Linked DNA regions of Canis lupus familiaris. The protein of the gene in region 3 interacts with the protein of the main gene of each other region in a pairwise test. Links are inferred from orthologs where the notes say so. Each region holds a gene or a part of one and is shown on either strand. Other genes may lie near its edges.

Region 1 (4,173 bases), on a different chromosome or scaffold from region 3:
GGGAGCCGATGCGAAACTTGACCCTCTGACCTGGAATCACACTCTGAACCAAAGGCAGACCTCAACCGCTGAGCCACCCAAGTGTCCTGATCTCAGGAGTTTTGATATTGGGCTGCTATCAGGCTCTGTGCTGGGCATGGAGCACCCTTGATATTCTCTCTCCCTCTGCCCATCCCCCCTCTAATTTTTTTTTTTTTTTAATCAACTTTTAGGGGCATCTGGCTGGCTCAATAAAGCATGGAATCCTTGATCTCAGGATTGTGAGTTCCATTCCCATGTTTGGTGCAGAGATTACTTAAAATAAAATCTTAAAAAAAAAAATTAAGGGGCAACTGGGTGGCTCAGTCGGTTAAGCAGCTGCCTTCAGCTCAGGCCATGCTCTCGTGGTCCTGGGATCAAGCCCCCAGTGGGTCTCCCCTGCTAAGCAAGGAGCTTGCTTCTCCCTCTCCCTCTCCCTCTGCTCATGCTCTCTTGCTCATTTCATATAGATAAAATCTTTAAAAAAATTTTTTTTAAAGATTTTATTTATTCAGGAGAGGGAGAGAGGCAGAGACACATGCAGAGAGAGAAGCAGGCTCCATGTTTTATCCTGGGTCTCCAGGATCACGCCCTGGGCCAAAGGCGAGCTCTCAACCACTGAGCCACCCAGGCGTCCCAATAAAATCTTATTTAAAAAATAAGATTGATTGATTTTTGGTGGAGATGCTGGATTTCAAACAGGGGCCTCAAACAGCAAAAAGTGCTTAGAAGCATTGCTAGTCGGTAAAGAACTGGGAGGAAAGGTCGGACGTCGCCTTAGAGACTCAGGGAAAAGCTCAGTGCGTCACCTCCAGGCCGGAGGAGCACCTGCCTCCAGGTGGGCAGACGATCCCCTGGACTAGAACTGCTCCTGGACTTGGGTGGCCCCTCCAGCATTCTTATCCCCAGATACGCCCTCTTCCTCCCTTCCAGGCCCTCCTCCAGCCGGACAAGCCTCCTTTAGATATGCTAATACCGTCCGAGCGCTGAGCTCGGCGTGGACTGGGAAGTTTTCTTTCCTTCCTTTGCAGTTTAGGTGGCGGCGGTGGGGTGGGCGGCCTCACCGCTCCCCTCCCCCACGCACACACCGCGGCTGGCCCCTCCGGGTCCTGCGGGGCCCTGGCTCAGTGGGTGGGGCAGGGAGGGCCCTTTGCCGCCGGGTGGTCGCCCAGAGGGCTGGTCTTCCCGCGGGCGAGAAGGGCCTATTCAGACCTCCCGGCCGCGCCCCCGCCCCGAGGCCGCAGCCCGGCAGGGGCGTGTCCCCGCGCTCACCTGCCATTGGGCAGGTGGGGCGGCCGGCCTCGGGCGGGCCGCGCTATAAACGCGGGCGGGCGGCGGCGGAGCCAGGCGCGCCGCAGGATGGTGGACAGCGTGTACCGCACCCGCTCCCTGGGGGTGGCGGCCGAAGGGCTCCCGGACCAGTACGCGGACGGGGAGGCGGCGCGCGTGTGGCAGCTCTACATCGGGGACACCCGCAGCCGCACGGCCGAGTACAAGGCCTGGCTGCTCGGGCTGCTGCGCCAGCACGGCTGCCAACGGGTGCTCGACGTGGCCTGCGGCACCGGGTGAGCGCGGGCCGGGGCCCTGGGGGTGGGGGTGCCGGCCGGGAGGAGGGGCTGGGACAGCCAGCGTGGAGGTGGGGACTCGGGATGCCGACGGCCGGATCCTCCCGGCGGCGCGGCGGCGGCGGCGGCGGCGGCGGCGGCGGCGGCGGCGGCTTGGCTTTGGGACCAGACCGATGTAAGCTCTCCTGGGTGCTGGCTCTGGCACAGCTCCCGAGTCGTGGCCTTGGGCAGTGTTAACAGTTAACAATTCGTTCGATACTTGGCCGTGCCATGCGCTGTGCCAGGAGCTTTGGATACATCCATTTTTAAGGTCTTCAGAAAACCTCAAGATGTATGCAGTGATGTCCCACTTAGAGTTGCTGAAATCCTGCCCCAGAGGGGTGAAGGCCCCTCTACCTAGTGGAGAAGAGATGCTGTACTACTTCCGCGTGCCCAGGTTCCTGAATTCCAGGGACCTCAGTTTGCCTCATCTCTCAAGCGAGGGAAACCCCATGTACCTCACAGGGTTGCCGTGAGGATTAATGCACAATGACGGAGTGCCTGGCTCTGAAGGGATGCTAACAAAACCCCAAAGTTGCTACCTGGTGATAGGGAACCCATTTGCCAGGTCATTTGAGATCAGTGGAGAGGGCCTGGGGAGAGGAAGAAGAGGAATGGAGCCAAGAGTGGAGGAGACAGAAGGGTCCAGCACAGGACCTCCTCCTTGCCTTTCCCAGGCCCCTTGACTGCCCCTCCCTGCCTCTCTCCCCTCTGGCCCTGCCCAGGGTGGACTCCATCATGCTGGTGGAAGAGGGCTTCAGCGTGACCAGTGTGGATGCCAGTGACAAGATGCTGAAGTATGCACTTAAAGAGCGCTGGAACCGGCGGCACGAGCCAGCCTTCGACAAGTGGGGTACGCACGTCCAGGCAGGCCTTCCCCGCCCGGCACCCCAGGGCCCAGTGCTCTTAATTCCTGTGCAAATTCGGGTGTTTGTTTTCCCTAAGGGGACAGCAAAATTACTTTCATTTCCCCAGAAAGGGAGGCTTAGGCACTAGAATGAGGTATCTGGTAATGAGGGGCTAGTTTTGATTATAAGTGTCTTCTCCCAAATAAAACCCAGTAAGCACAGAGCCATTCTTCCCATCACAGCTTCCTCCCCGCCCCCTTGACCCCTCCTCCCCTTCACCTTCCATATCCATAATAATCCCCTCCTCCTAACTGGATGGGGAATCCCCATGTGTCTTGAAGAGGAAACTGAGGCAGGGCTGCACTCGATGGAGAGGGGTACTGCTGGTGCCTCCATGCCACCTCGAGCTCTCCTTCCCCTTCCTGGTCCCAGTCATTGAAGAAGCCAACTGGATGACTCTGGACAAAGATGTGCCCCAGCCACCAGGGGGTGCCTTCGATGCTGTCATCTGCCTTGGAAACAGCTTTGCCCACTTGCCAGACTGCAAAGGTGAGACAGAGTGTACCCTGGAGCCTGGCCCTTTGAGCTATACCTCTTTTCACAGACCCCTGGGTGCCTGCTATCCTGGCCAGAGCAGACTGTTTTCTGCTCCTCCCTGACTTGGCGTCTGTATCCCTGGGGAGGAAAAAGCTGGGAGGGAGACTGGTGCTTGGGGCCCTGAGCGGACGCAGCCTCTTTGCCCTTGCCTGGAGCTCAGGAGATCAGAGTGAGCACCGGCTGGCACTGAAGAACATCGCGAGCATGGTGCGGTCAGGGGGCCTGCTGGTCATTGACCATCGCAACTATGACCACATCCTCAGCACAGGCTGTGCACCCCCAGGAAAGAACATCTACTATAAGGTGAGGGCCCTGGGGGTGGGATGAGAAGCCCAGAATGGGGGATGTGATCCTGGGGTCCAGCCCTGCAGTGGTTGCCAAGGCTAATACAGCCTGCACCACTACCTACAGAGCGACTTGACCAAGGACATCACCACATCAGTGCTGACAGTGAACAACAAGGCCCACATGGTGACCCTGGACTATACAGTGCAGGTGCCAGGGGCTGGTCAGGATGGTTCTCCTGGCTTGAGGTACCCACTGGGCTTGGCAGCGGGTGAAGGGGGGTGGTGCCGAGGCCACCAGTCCTCATGGTTGCTTGGGGGCTCTGTTGCAGTAAGTTCCGGCTGTCCTACTACCCGCACCGTTTGGCTTCCTTCACGGAGTTGCTACGAGCAGCCTTTGGGGGCAAGTGCCAGCACAGCGTCCTGGGTGACTTCAAGCCTTACAAGCCGGGCCAGGCCTCCATTCCTTGCTATTTTATCCATGTGCTCAAGAGGACGGACTGAGCGCTGAACCTGGCCTCAGCTCCTACAACCCTCCAGCCAACATGGCCAGCCAGATCTCTCTGGGGAGGTGGGGACTAGCAGTCCCATACCCGGCCCAGCCCCAGCCCTGCAGATCCTGGGGTGCTGGGAGGGGCAAGACTGCTGTTGTGGGTGCAGGATTTGGGTTTGGGCAAATGGAAGTAGTAGCAATATAGTCTGTGCCTTTTTCAGTTCTGCATGTTTTGTGTTTATATGGGAAGGATCAAGCTCCCGCCACCGTCCCCTCCCTGGCCCTCCCCTGGGGCTTTGTCCTTCCACAAACTAGCTCTTTTCACACTC
Region 2 (3,565 bases), on a different chromosome or scaffold from region 3:
GTGTGTGATGGCATGTCGCCGCGACTGGGGTGGGCCACCTCAGGGCCTCAGCACCCAGCCTGTGGCCATGGAGGCCCTCCAACCTTACTCAGGCTTCCAGGGCTACAGAGGGCTGCCTGCAAGCAGCCTCTGCGTTTCCCTGACAGGTGCACAGCAACAGGACTATGGCATCTGGGTAGGGGTGTTGGCCCCACCCCCTGCTGGATGGGTGGGTTGCGCCATCCCTGCGCAAGCCTGAGCCTGGGGGTGTTCCCTGGTGGCCAGGCCCCTGGGATCGGGGGCAGCAACTGCCTGATGGCCTGGGCTGGACCCCCAGTAGCACCATCATCCGTTTGTGGACTTGTTAGATCCTAGATGAGACCCGTGCACGAACCCCTAAGAGAGAGAGGAGCAGTGATAGGGGAACTGGGATGGAAGGCAGGGACCCCAGGAAAGGAAAGGGTCCCAAGAGCCAGAAGCAGGTTTGTTTCCAGGAAAGTGTCCTGCACTGCACACGTCAGAGGAGGAATATGATTGCGGGTGGGTGGCTGTAGGACCTACGGAACAGACAGGAGTGTGGGGGAGCTGGCTCCCAGGCCTCCACAGGCTCACCCTGGCCCTGCTGCTGCTCAGTCTGGGAACTGAGTCCTTGGGGGGTGAGCAGAAGGCCAGGGACAAGGGGTCCTGACCCCTTAGGTGCCTGCAGCCTACCTGCTCGCCCGCAGACCCCAGACCACCCTGGGGAGAACTGGGGCCGCGGGGAGGAGGAGGAGAGGGAAGGGCAGGCAGGGATACCCCTCAACCTTGTGGGCAGGACTCCCCTGCATGCCAGGTCATCAGGCCCCAGGGCTTGGAAAGTCCCCAGAAGTCCCCAGACAATCAGAGGACAGTCCTGGGGCCAGGGTCCTCTGAAAGTGGGGTGACCCGGTCTGATATGAGACAATGAGATCGGGGGGTGGGGGTGACCCCGGACTGCGGGCTCGTAGACAGGGGTGAAAGGACGGCATCCAGTGCCCAGGAGCGGCCTCTGGCCCATAGTGATGATGCTCACAGAGTCATAATGAGATCTCACTCGTCTTTCCCAAGCATCATCAAACTGAGGACACTGATACAGTTTGTTAGACATTTTTTCATAGTCAAGATGGACTTTCTGTCATATATTTTCTTTTTTGGCTCTGTGGCTTTTTGTTGATGGTCTAGAAGGTTCCAAGGGTCACGGGCCTTCCTTCCATGGACGGCCTAGTTCGTTCCCATTTGTCCAACTTTCATCCACACTCTTTCGTTACATACTCAGTGTTTCCCTGAGCCCGTTATTTTTTTTACATGGTCTTTATTTTTATTTTCTGAAAGCCATTGTTTCCCCCTTTCAGTTAAGGGTTTTTTTGGTTTTGTTTTGTTCTGATTTTTTTTAAGCAAAAATTAAAAAAAAAAAAAAAAGACCCATGAGAAAATAGAAAAATAGACAAAGAAAATAAGCATTTCGAAGTAGACAAAAGCAGGTTGGCCAGTAAACCCCAAGAAGGTTCATGGAGAGCAGGGTCACCCCAGGTTGGAGGCAACCACACGGCCCTGACAAGGAATCTTCCAGAAATGGAGGCAATGAGGCAGATGCAAGGACGTTTGTTTAAAATACCATGAACTCTTTTTCTAAAACCGATGTATATTATACAAATGTCTTACTATTTGGTTAACTCAAGATGGAATTTTACTTTAAATCCTTTGTAATGGGAACACTTTGTGGAGAAATACAACCATTATCAGCTGACATCCAGTGAAAGCTGTACATGGACAATTTGTGCAAATGTCTGTGTCCATCGTGACACTCCTGATACACGTCCTCACTCACATGCCCAGACAAGTATCAGCTGCACCGGCAGCTCTTCCACACTTTAGTTCTCCCAAATTTTGTCTGAGTTACAAGGTTCCAGGTTATTACAAACAAAAGGAATAATTTTTTTAAGATTTTATTTATTTATTCATGAGAGACCCAGAGAGAGAAGCAGAGACATAGGCAGAGGGAGAAGCAGGTTCTGTGCAGGGTGCCTGATGTGGGACTTGATCCCAGGATCCCGGGATCACGACCTGAGCTGAAAGCAGACACTCAACCACTGAGCCACCCAGGTGCCCAAAAGGAATAATTTTTAAATGACATTTATTGTTACCATGAATCCTTCTGTCATGTTACTGTCCATTTGCGGATGACTTCTTTATTTTTGTGGGATCCTGTAATTATATGCAAATACCATCATGTTTCAAGTTAAAATGAACTTCAACACATTCCCATGGCCCATGACTCCCAAGTGTGAGAAAAGAGTCCCCTTCAGCCCTCATGCGGGGGGTGCTCCCAGTGCAGGAGGTGTTTGCCTTCCCTCACCGCAGTGGGGCGCTTGACAGCCTGGCTGCCGGTAGGCGTGGACAACACGTATAGGCTCCCTGTTGGCCCCCCAGGACATGTGGGTGCCCACCACCTGAGCAGCAGTAGGAGGGCCCATGCCTGCGTGTCCCTGGCCGCCCCATGGGGCACCCTGCAGTGTGTGAGGCGGATCTCATGCTAGAACCGGGGAGCCTCCCCGCTCTGTCCTGTGGCTAGTGTCCCCTCTGCACCACAACCCTCCTCCCTACCCCCTCCACCCCAGCCCTGGCTGGCTCTGCCCTGAGGCGTCCCCACTGTGCTGTGCTTTCAGAGCCGCCTGTCGCCCTTCGAGGACATGATCTTCTGCTTCTCACAAGAGGACTGGTCCCTTCTAGATCCTGCTCAGACGGGCTTCTATGGAGAGTTCATCATTGGGGAGGACTGTGGTGTCTCACTGCCTCCAAGTAAGACTTCCATCCTCTGTCCTGAGACCAGGGAGCCAGTGTCACATTGATGTTCACCCCCACCCCAGGGGCACCTCACAGATCAACCACATGTGGTTCAGGCTGGCCTGGCTGGCGAGTGCCTGGTTCCTGGGGAGTCCTGCGGGAGGTACCCCGGCCCCACCTGCTGGCCCCAGCCCCTGCCGACCTGTGTGAGTTCCTGGCCCCCAGCCCTGGTTCCTGGAGCAGCACGTGGCTGATGGACGTGTGTCCCCCATCTGCAAACAGGTGACTCGGCCACCCAGCTGGCACTTTCCCAGGGGGAGGACAGTGAGCCCCAGGTCCCTGAGTTTCAGGACCCCCAGGGGAAGGATGTGGCCCAGGCTTCTTACTTGGGTAAGTACGCTCTCCACGCCCTGCCCTGTCTGCAGCCCCATGTCGCCCCTGCATTCTCGGGCTCCGACATCTCTTGCCAGACAGAAAACGGGATTGCAGTTTTCCCTGGGGATGCGGTTGTGGGTGGGGGGTGGTGATGGTGGTGGTGCACAGCACTGCCCTCACCAGAGACTAGGATGCGACAGGATCCGCCCTCTGTGCTGTAAGCAGCACTGGGCTCAGGCTGACCAGGCGGCCCTGCCTGATTGAGGCCACGTACTCCCCAGAAGGCAGGTGGGGGTTTGTGAGGACACTGAGGCATGGAGAGGAGCAGGGCCTCGTGGGGCTCAGGGCAGGCATCCTCCCCGCTGCTCCCTGCCCCAGGCTCCGTGTCAGCCGAGCTCACTTCTGCAGA
Region 3 (4,055 bases):
TTCTAGTCTTAAGGCCAAAACCCTGTAGTTCCCCTTCTCAAGCTCCCCTAACTTTAACACTATCAGATTCAACTCTCTACCTCTATCCTGTCCCAGCAGCAAGAACCTGCTAATCTTTAGCCACTAATCTTTTAGCCTTTAATCTGCTTTCTAAACTCTTGGCACCTGAACTATTTATAAAACAGTGTTTTATGCCCCCCAACTCTACTCTTCTTCTCTGACCCCCACCAATCTAAATATTCAAAGGACCTCAAGTATAAAAGGCTGGAGAGGTAAGCATAGCAACCAGAGCTGGAGACGGATGTGAGCTTCATCTCTCTCCCCAGGTAATAGTCCGAAGTCCTCTATTTCTAACCCATACCAGGTCCCATATACCCTTGCCTTTAGCATCCCCATGAATATATTAAGGAGCATCTGAGGGCATCTTTCATGACACAGCCAGCAGGCACTTGGCCTGAGAGACCCTGTGACAGACCTCTGGAGGCTCCCTGGAGCTCACCCTCAGGCCAGACATGATATATAACAAAGAGAAGCACTAGACAGACATCTCCCTCTCTCTAAGGATCCCTACTCCAAGGCCTTTCACCTGGGGACACAGATAAGGCTAAGAAGGAGAAAATTGGGGGAAGGTGAAGAGAGTGATGAATAGATTCAAGGAAGGCTTTCTAGAGGTTTCTGCCACCAACAACCAAGAGCATGAGGGCTCCAACCCCTTCTCTCCCACACTTTTCTCCTCTCTTAACTGAGAGTTAAAGCCACCGTGAGATGAACTCAGGTTCAGAATCTATTGTAGGACAAAAGCAGACAGAATCCATTTTTTCTTCATTCATTTATTTGCGTATCTAACAAACATGTCTTGACACCTACTGTGTGCCAGGTGGTGTTCAGCCTCATCCAGTCAAATTTTCCTCAAATTGTCTTGATGGAGGGCTCTCTCCAGCCTGCTTTGAGACAAATTCCTTCTCTGTGAAGGTGGTCAAGAGTGTCCCAGCTATTCCAGGAAGCCATGCCATTTCTAGAGAATAGACAGAGTGGTTAGTCAACAATTTGTAAAAATAGGGTTTTTTTCCCCTGTCTGGGATGGGTGAGAGTGTGACTGAATAAGTAACCTTGGCAGGAGGGAGAATATAAGGCACTTGAATGGTAGTGAGGTATCTATTCAACAAGGAAAGGTTACACCACACTAGGTATGTCTGGATTGTATCCTGGAGAAAGAATTGGGACCAAATGACTGAGCCTTCCTCCTTCTTTCCCTCTTCTCAGAAAAGGCTCAACATCAACTTCATGGCTCACATCTCAAGGTAAGTAAGAACTCCTAATTCTCTGAATCTGTGACTTGTCCCCTATCCAAACCCAAGTACCTGCTTTGTGGTAGAGGAGTTTCCAACTTCTCAACTTGTAACTTGAACTCTATCCCAATTACCTCCACCTTTGCACCATTTCATGCTCCTTGAGCCTCTTCTCCTAATCCTAAGAATACTTCCTTTTCTTCTCCACTTCCTTCTTCTCCTCTTCCCTTTTTTCACAATGACCCTCCCTATTTTCTTTCTGATTTTCTCTTTATAGAGTGTATAAGAAGACCTGCTCCAATGGGAAGGTGAGAGAACCTGGCCTAGCCAGGCAAATGAAAGGGCAAAAGGGAGAGGTCTCAAGGGTTTGCCTTGAGGATTCAGGGGAAGCCATTCAAAGATGATTATGATAATAACACGCAAGGTTGTTCCACAACAGCTTGCCATCTACCTGGGGAAACGGGACTTCGTGGACCATGTGGACATGGTGGATCCCATTGGTCAGTGAGTCTAAAAAGGGAAAGAACCTGGGGAGAAGGGAATGGGAGCCAGCAACTAAAAGCCAAGAAAGGAACATACAGAAGAGGAGGCCAATTCAAGGGGAAAATGGGAGGAACTATTTCAGGGATGGATTTCTGTTTCATAGTCTAAGGATTTTTCCTGACCATGGTACCGTCTCTCGCTCTCTACACAGATGGTGTAGTCCTGGTTGACCCCGATTACTTGAAGGGTCGAAAGAGTAAGTAAAAATTCTCTTGGCCTTTGTATGTGCCAGGGATCCCAAACTGAAATGTCACACACGCCAGACAAGTAACTTAAATGAATAGACTAAACGAATGGACCAGAGGGGTAGAAGAAAACCAAAACGTGGTGAGAACTGTGAATGCCTTGTCTGGTGGGAGTTAATAAATGGGAATTTTAGCCTAGTGTGGCCAAATTTTCTGGTTGTTGGACAGGAACTGGAAATGAAGCTCAGAATAAGACCTTCAGAGGCCTAAATTCTGAAAAGATTATGGTACCTCTTCCCCCAAATAATATTCAAAATAGGTTTATTTCTAAAACATAAATAAAATTTTATTTTTCAAAAGTATACAAAATGTATATGTGTGCTGGAATTCAAATAGATTTTTTCTAAGCTTTCTGATTTTCTTTATTATTTTTCATGGTACTCTACTTTGTTGCTGAACTGAATGTGGGCTTAGACTGGCTATGGAAAGATGCAGTATTCCAGAAATCCATATTTTCACGAAAATTTCATGATTTTCAAATGTTGGCAACCAACTAAAAGATTTTTAAAGGTCTAGATAGATCAAAAAATTTACATTTTTCATTAGTCTGGATGTGACCCTTAGACTGACATTTTGCAACCTCTGGTATATATCTTTCTACCTCTTCTGTGTAGGGAAACCCCGTCTTTTCTGGGTGTGTGTGTGGGAAATCCCAAGTAAACAAACAAAGAAAACCATAGCACCAGCAAGTAACAACAAGAGACATTACTCCGGCCACAGCACCATAGATCAAGATTACATTGAAATATTTTTGCACTGCTTTAATAAATTTCTTTTAGTTTGTGATTCAATAAGTTTGAAAGTTGGGTTTGACTTGAAAAAGGCTCAGAATAAATTGATGAATACTAGTTCAAATATAACCTTTAGATACTGTGAGATAAAAATAACCTTATTTTTTCTGACTAAACAGTGTGGATAAGCCATCCAGCCAGTTTTAAATATCAGAGGAATTCTGTGGAATACCCACTAAATTAACCAACTTGAGATTCTCAATTACTCTGTATTTCTAAAAAAACAAAAACAAAAAAACCTAAATCATTTTCTCACATTCCTACAAAATCTTCAGAATAACCTACAGAAAGAAATATTTAGCGTAAAAAAATGCATGTTGATCTGGAATATGTGTTTTCCCTTTTACTCAAATCTTTCTTATGTTCCTAAAAGAATTTTTTTATTATTCGTTTAAGTTGTATATATTTCTTAAGTTTGTTCCTTAGCTATTTTACATGTTTTGCTACTTTTATGAAGATAATTTTGTTTGCATATTTTCTAATATTTTTTTCTATCAAGTTTCATTTATTGATGTAAAATATGCTTATACTATACTACTGAGTGATAAAGGCCAATTGTAGGGCAGTATACGTGGTCCTGTGAAAGATATACTGTTTAACAAAAAACTATATGGGATCTCTCTGTATTATTTCTTACAACTGCTTGTAAATCTACAACAATCTCAAAAAGTCCACTTTCAAATAGGCAATGTCACAAATATCTAAGGTAGCCTGATGTTTAATTATAGACACAAAGCTGAGAAGCAATTGCAAGCGATATGAACAGCAGTAGTTTCTGCAACACGAAGTATGATGACAGAGTTTTGAATCATTTTTTGTTTGTATTTTCTGATTTTCATACAATTACTATGTATTATTTGTATAACAGACACAAATTTAAATTTTTTTGGTCTTTTTTGTATTTTTTTATTGGAGTTCGATTTGCCAACATATAGTATAATACCCAGTGCTCATCCCATCAGGTGCCCCCCTCAGTGCTCATCACCCAGTCACCCCATCCCCCCGCCCACCTCCCTTTCCAGTACCCCTTGTTCGTTTCCCCGAGTTAGGAGTCTCTCATGTTTTGTCACCCTCTCTGATATTTCCCACACATTTTCTCTTGTTTCCCCTATAATCCCTTTCACTATTTTTTATATTCCCCATATGAGTGAAACCATATGATTGTCCTTCTTCAACTGACTTACTTC
Region 4 (2,604 bases), on a different chromosome or scaffold from region 3:
TGCCTGGGGCCCAACCATACCCAGAAAGGCGTTAGGGATGGTGATCTTGAGCCACATGCGGTCTCGAACTTCCAGTCCAGACTCCGGAGCTGCCATGGCCTTGGTGACAGATGCCATGTCCGTATGAATGGACAGACCCCGGCCCTCACAGCCTATCGGAGAAGAAATGAGGAGTAGAGACCGGGCCACACACTGCTGAAAGGCCTCCCAGGGAGGGGAGGGTGAGGTGGGCTGGGGGCTCACCCTCGGGCAGAGAAGACCCGGATGTCATGGTGCTCATGGACGAGGAGCCCGGGTAGGTGGGGAAGGTGCCAGTCAGTGCAGCCGAGTGAGACACCCAGGCAGCTGGGTCGATCGGCTGGATGGGCTCATCTGGGACAGAGAAGGTCCCCACAATGATCGTTTCCCTGCCACTCCCCAACTGAGACCCCGACCCCCATCCCACCTCTGCCCTGACCCTCCTCCACCCCTTCCTGTCATCCTCCTCCCCTGTAGCACTCACTTCGAGGAAGAGTGAAATAGGCCTGGGGAGACGGATCCCAGCACTTGGCCACAGTCAGCACAATGGGGCTGTGGGGAAGGGGAGACGCAGTCAGGCAGGGGCGGGGGGGATGGGGCGAGGCTTTGCGAGGGTGAAGGATGGACAGAGACACAGACAGACCAGGCTGGAGAGCTGAGCCTGGAGGCATCAGTGAGGGTGACCCACCAACACAGACAACACTAGAAATGAGGCTGAAACACAGAACCACACACACTCTATGTATGGGTCCATGCAGAGCCAGTCCAGGTCACAGAAGCTGAGCCCGCTGATCGAGGATGGGGACGGACACATGCACATGGACACACACACAAGGGGAGGGGAGGCAAAGCAGTGCAGTGATGACAGATGACAAAGGACACCAGGGCAGCGCTCCCTGCCAGGGAGACTGGTGAGGGGACTGCAGACTCTGGAGCACAACCCCCCAGCTCACGATCAGGTGGGGGTCATGCGGGCCATCCTCTGCCCCACGGTGATGTCACGTTATGGCTCAGCCCCTCTGGACACGCACCACCACGCCCATGCTAAGGGTGAAGCCACGGGCACCAGGAGAGCAGATGAGAGGTGGCTCACCCCGGCTTGTGCACGATGTCCCGCAGCACCCGCACTGCATCATCGTTGCTCATGTTCTCGAAATTCATGTCGTTGACCTGGAAGCCAGGTTGGCGAGTGAGTGTGGGTGAGAGCTTGTGAGACGTACCTGCCCCCCAGATCCCCCACAGGGCACCTGCAGCAGCATGTCACCCGGCTCGATGCGCCCATCGGCTGCCACCGCACCGCCCTTCATGATGGAGCCAATGTAGATGCCGCCGTCGCCCCGCTCGTTGCTCTGGCCCACGATGGAGATGCCCAGAAAGTTGTACTTCTCTGCAGAGCAGGCGCCCATGACAAGGAAGCCAGCCAGCGTTCCCCGGGGCCCCCGCCCTGGACCCCCAACCGGGGCCCCCTCGTACCCATGTTGAGTGTGACTGTGATGATGTTGAGAGACATGGTGGAGTCAGTGACGCTACTGAAGGACGAAGCCTAGCGGGGAGACAGGGAAGGCTTGGGTTGCCTCCAAGGACCCCAGATTCTCACTTTCTGGGCCCACATACCCCTGAGACCAAGGCTCCCTACGCCTGTAAGACGCAGCCATCCCGTGAGCTCCCCTCACCCTCTCCAGGCGGGGTGGCCGCTGTTTCCTCCGCCGCCGGTGGCGCTTGAGGAGGCGAGAGGCGCTGCTCTGCTCCGTGGAGCTGCTGAATCTGTCCGGAGGAGAGGAAGGGGAGTGCTGGCTGGCAGAGCAGGTGGGGGGGGGGGGGGAGGGAGGCAGAGACCAGCTTGGGCCTGGAGGACATCACCCGGTGGCGCTGGGAAGTGCAGGGCTGGGTGCCACACCTGCTCATGGTGTCATCCTCATCGGAGTCCCCCAGGCTAGTGCTCTCCAGCTCGCTGGTCATAAGGGTTGAGGAGCTCTCATACCCGGCCAGGTGGCGCTCCAGCCTCGAGGGTCCACCAGGCCTGTGGCCCCCTGCTGTGGAAGAATAGAACCTTCAGGGACCTGGCCTCAAGCTGCCTCCCCCATCACAGGGGGGCCTGAGCCCAGCCCCCAGCTCCTGGGCTCCTGGGCCCCCCTCACCACCGTGCTCACTGCTGTCTCTCCTACGAGGCCGTTCCCGCCGCAGGGACACCACTGACTCGGTTTCCGTCTCAGGCTCCAGGTTCTCCCGGCTGCTGGACACGTTAGGGCTAGGTGGACAGAGATGGCATGCGACCGCGTCAGGGGGACGGGGCTCCGTGTCCTCAACCTCCCCCTGCCCAGGGTCTGGGGTCTCCTCCTTGCCTCCCTCCCCCGGACTAAAGAATCCCAGAGACTCACTGGAAGGACGGAGGCCTAGAGTCCCCGATGCCGCTGGTCCTCTCCGGTGGCAGGGGGGGTAGCGGTGGGGGGGGCGGTGCCAGCTCTGCCCGGGGCTCGTGGGCTGGGGGAGCCATCTCGGGTTGGGGGTTCTCTGACGACACCAGCTGGAAAGATGCAATGACAAAAACTGACTCAAGCAAGGAGGGAGGCAACCGAGGTGGGAAGA

Evidence for each region.
Region 1: the proteins of ARR3 (region 3) and GNMT interact in a two-hybrid assay, tested with the Homo sapiens proteins (2 studies listed by BioGRID and IntAct). The two-hybrid records come from large-scale screens. The link is inferred for Canis lupus familiaris from reciprocal best matches to the Homo sapiens genes ARR3 and GNMT.
Region 2: the proteins of ARR3 (region 3) and ZNF496 interact in binary tests that used the Homo sapiens proteins (3 or more experiments, as listed by UniProt). The two-hybrid records come from large-scale screens. The link is inferred for Canis lupus familiaris from reciprocal best matches to the Homo sapiens genes ARR3 and ZNF496.
Region 4: the proteins of ARR3 (region 3) and DVL2 interact in a two-hybrid assay, tested with the Homo sapiens proteins (2 studies listed by BioGRID and IntAct). The two-hybrid records come from large-scale screens. The link is inferred for Canis lupus familiaris from reciprocal best matches to the Homo sapiens genes ARR3 and DVL2.

What each region holds. Positions count from the first base shown.
Region 1 is NC_049233.1:11,686,958-11,691,130, forward strand, and holds GNMT (glycine N-methyltransferase), read left to right. Parts: upstream 1-1,341; 5' UTR 1,342-1,377; coding exon 1,378-1,583; intron 1,584-2,347; coding exon 2,348-2,475; intron 2,476-2,902; coding exon 2,903-3,019; intron 3,020-3,227; coding exon 3,228-3,370; intron 3,371-3,478; coding exon 3,479-3,600; intron 3,601-3,683; coding exon 3,684-3,855; 3' UTR 3,856-4,068; downstream 4,069-4,173. UniProt on the Homo sapiens protein: Catalyzes the methylation of glycine by using S-adenosylmethionine (AdoMet) to form N-methylglycine (sarcosine) with the concomitant production of S-adenosylhomocysteine (AdoHcy), a reaction regulated by the binding of 5-methyltetrahydrofolate.
Region 2 is NC_049229.1:261,640-265,204, reverse strand, and holds part of ZNF496 (zinc finger protein 496), read left to right. Parts: intron 1-2,663; coding exon 2,664-2,796; intron 2,797-3,063; coding exon 3,064-3,171; intron 3,172-3,565. UniProt on the Homo sapiens protein: DNA-binding transcription factor that can both act as an activator and a repressor.
Region 3 is NC_049260.1:54,910,137-54,914,191, forward strand, and holds the start of ARR3 (arrestin-C), read left to right. Parts: upstream 1-1,227; coding exon 1,228-1,301; intron 1,302-1,566; coding exon 1,567-1,597; intron 1,598-1,728; coding exon 1,729-1,789; intron 1,790-1,983; coding exon 1,984-2,028; intron 2,029-4,055. UniProt on the Homo sapiens protein: May play a role in an as yet undefined retina-specific signal transduction. Could bind to photoactivated-phosphorylated red/green opsins.
Region 4 is NC_049226.1:32,403,216-32,405,819, forward strand, and holds part of DVL2 (segment polarity protein dishevelled homolog DVL-2), read right to left. Parts: intron 2,543-2,604; coding exon 2,397-2,542; intron 2,267-2,396; coding exon 2,157-2,266; intron 2,052-2,156; coding exon 1,916-2,051; intron 1,783-1,915; coding exon 1,692-1,782; intron 1,562-1,691; coding exon 1,492-1,561; intron 1,406-1,491; coding exon 1,266-1,405; intron 1,189-1,265; coding exon 1,112-1,188; intron 571-1,111; coding exon 503-570; intron 373-502; coding exon 244-372; intron 153-243; coding exon 21-152; intron 1-20.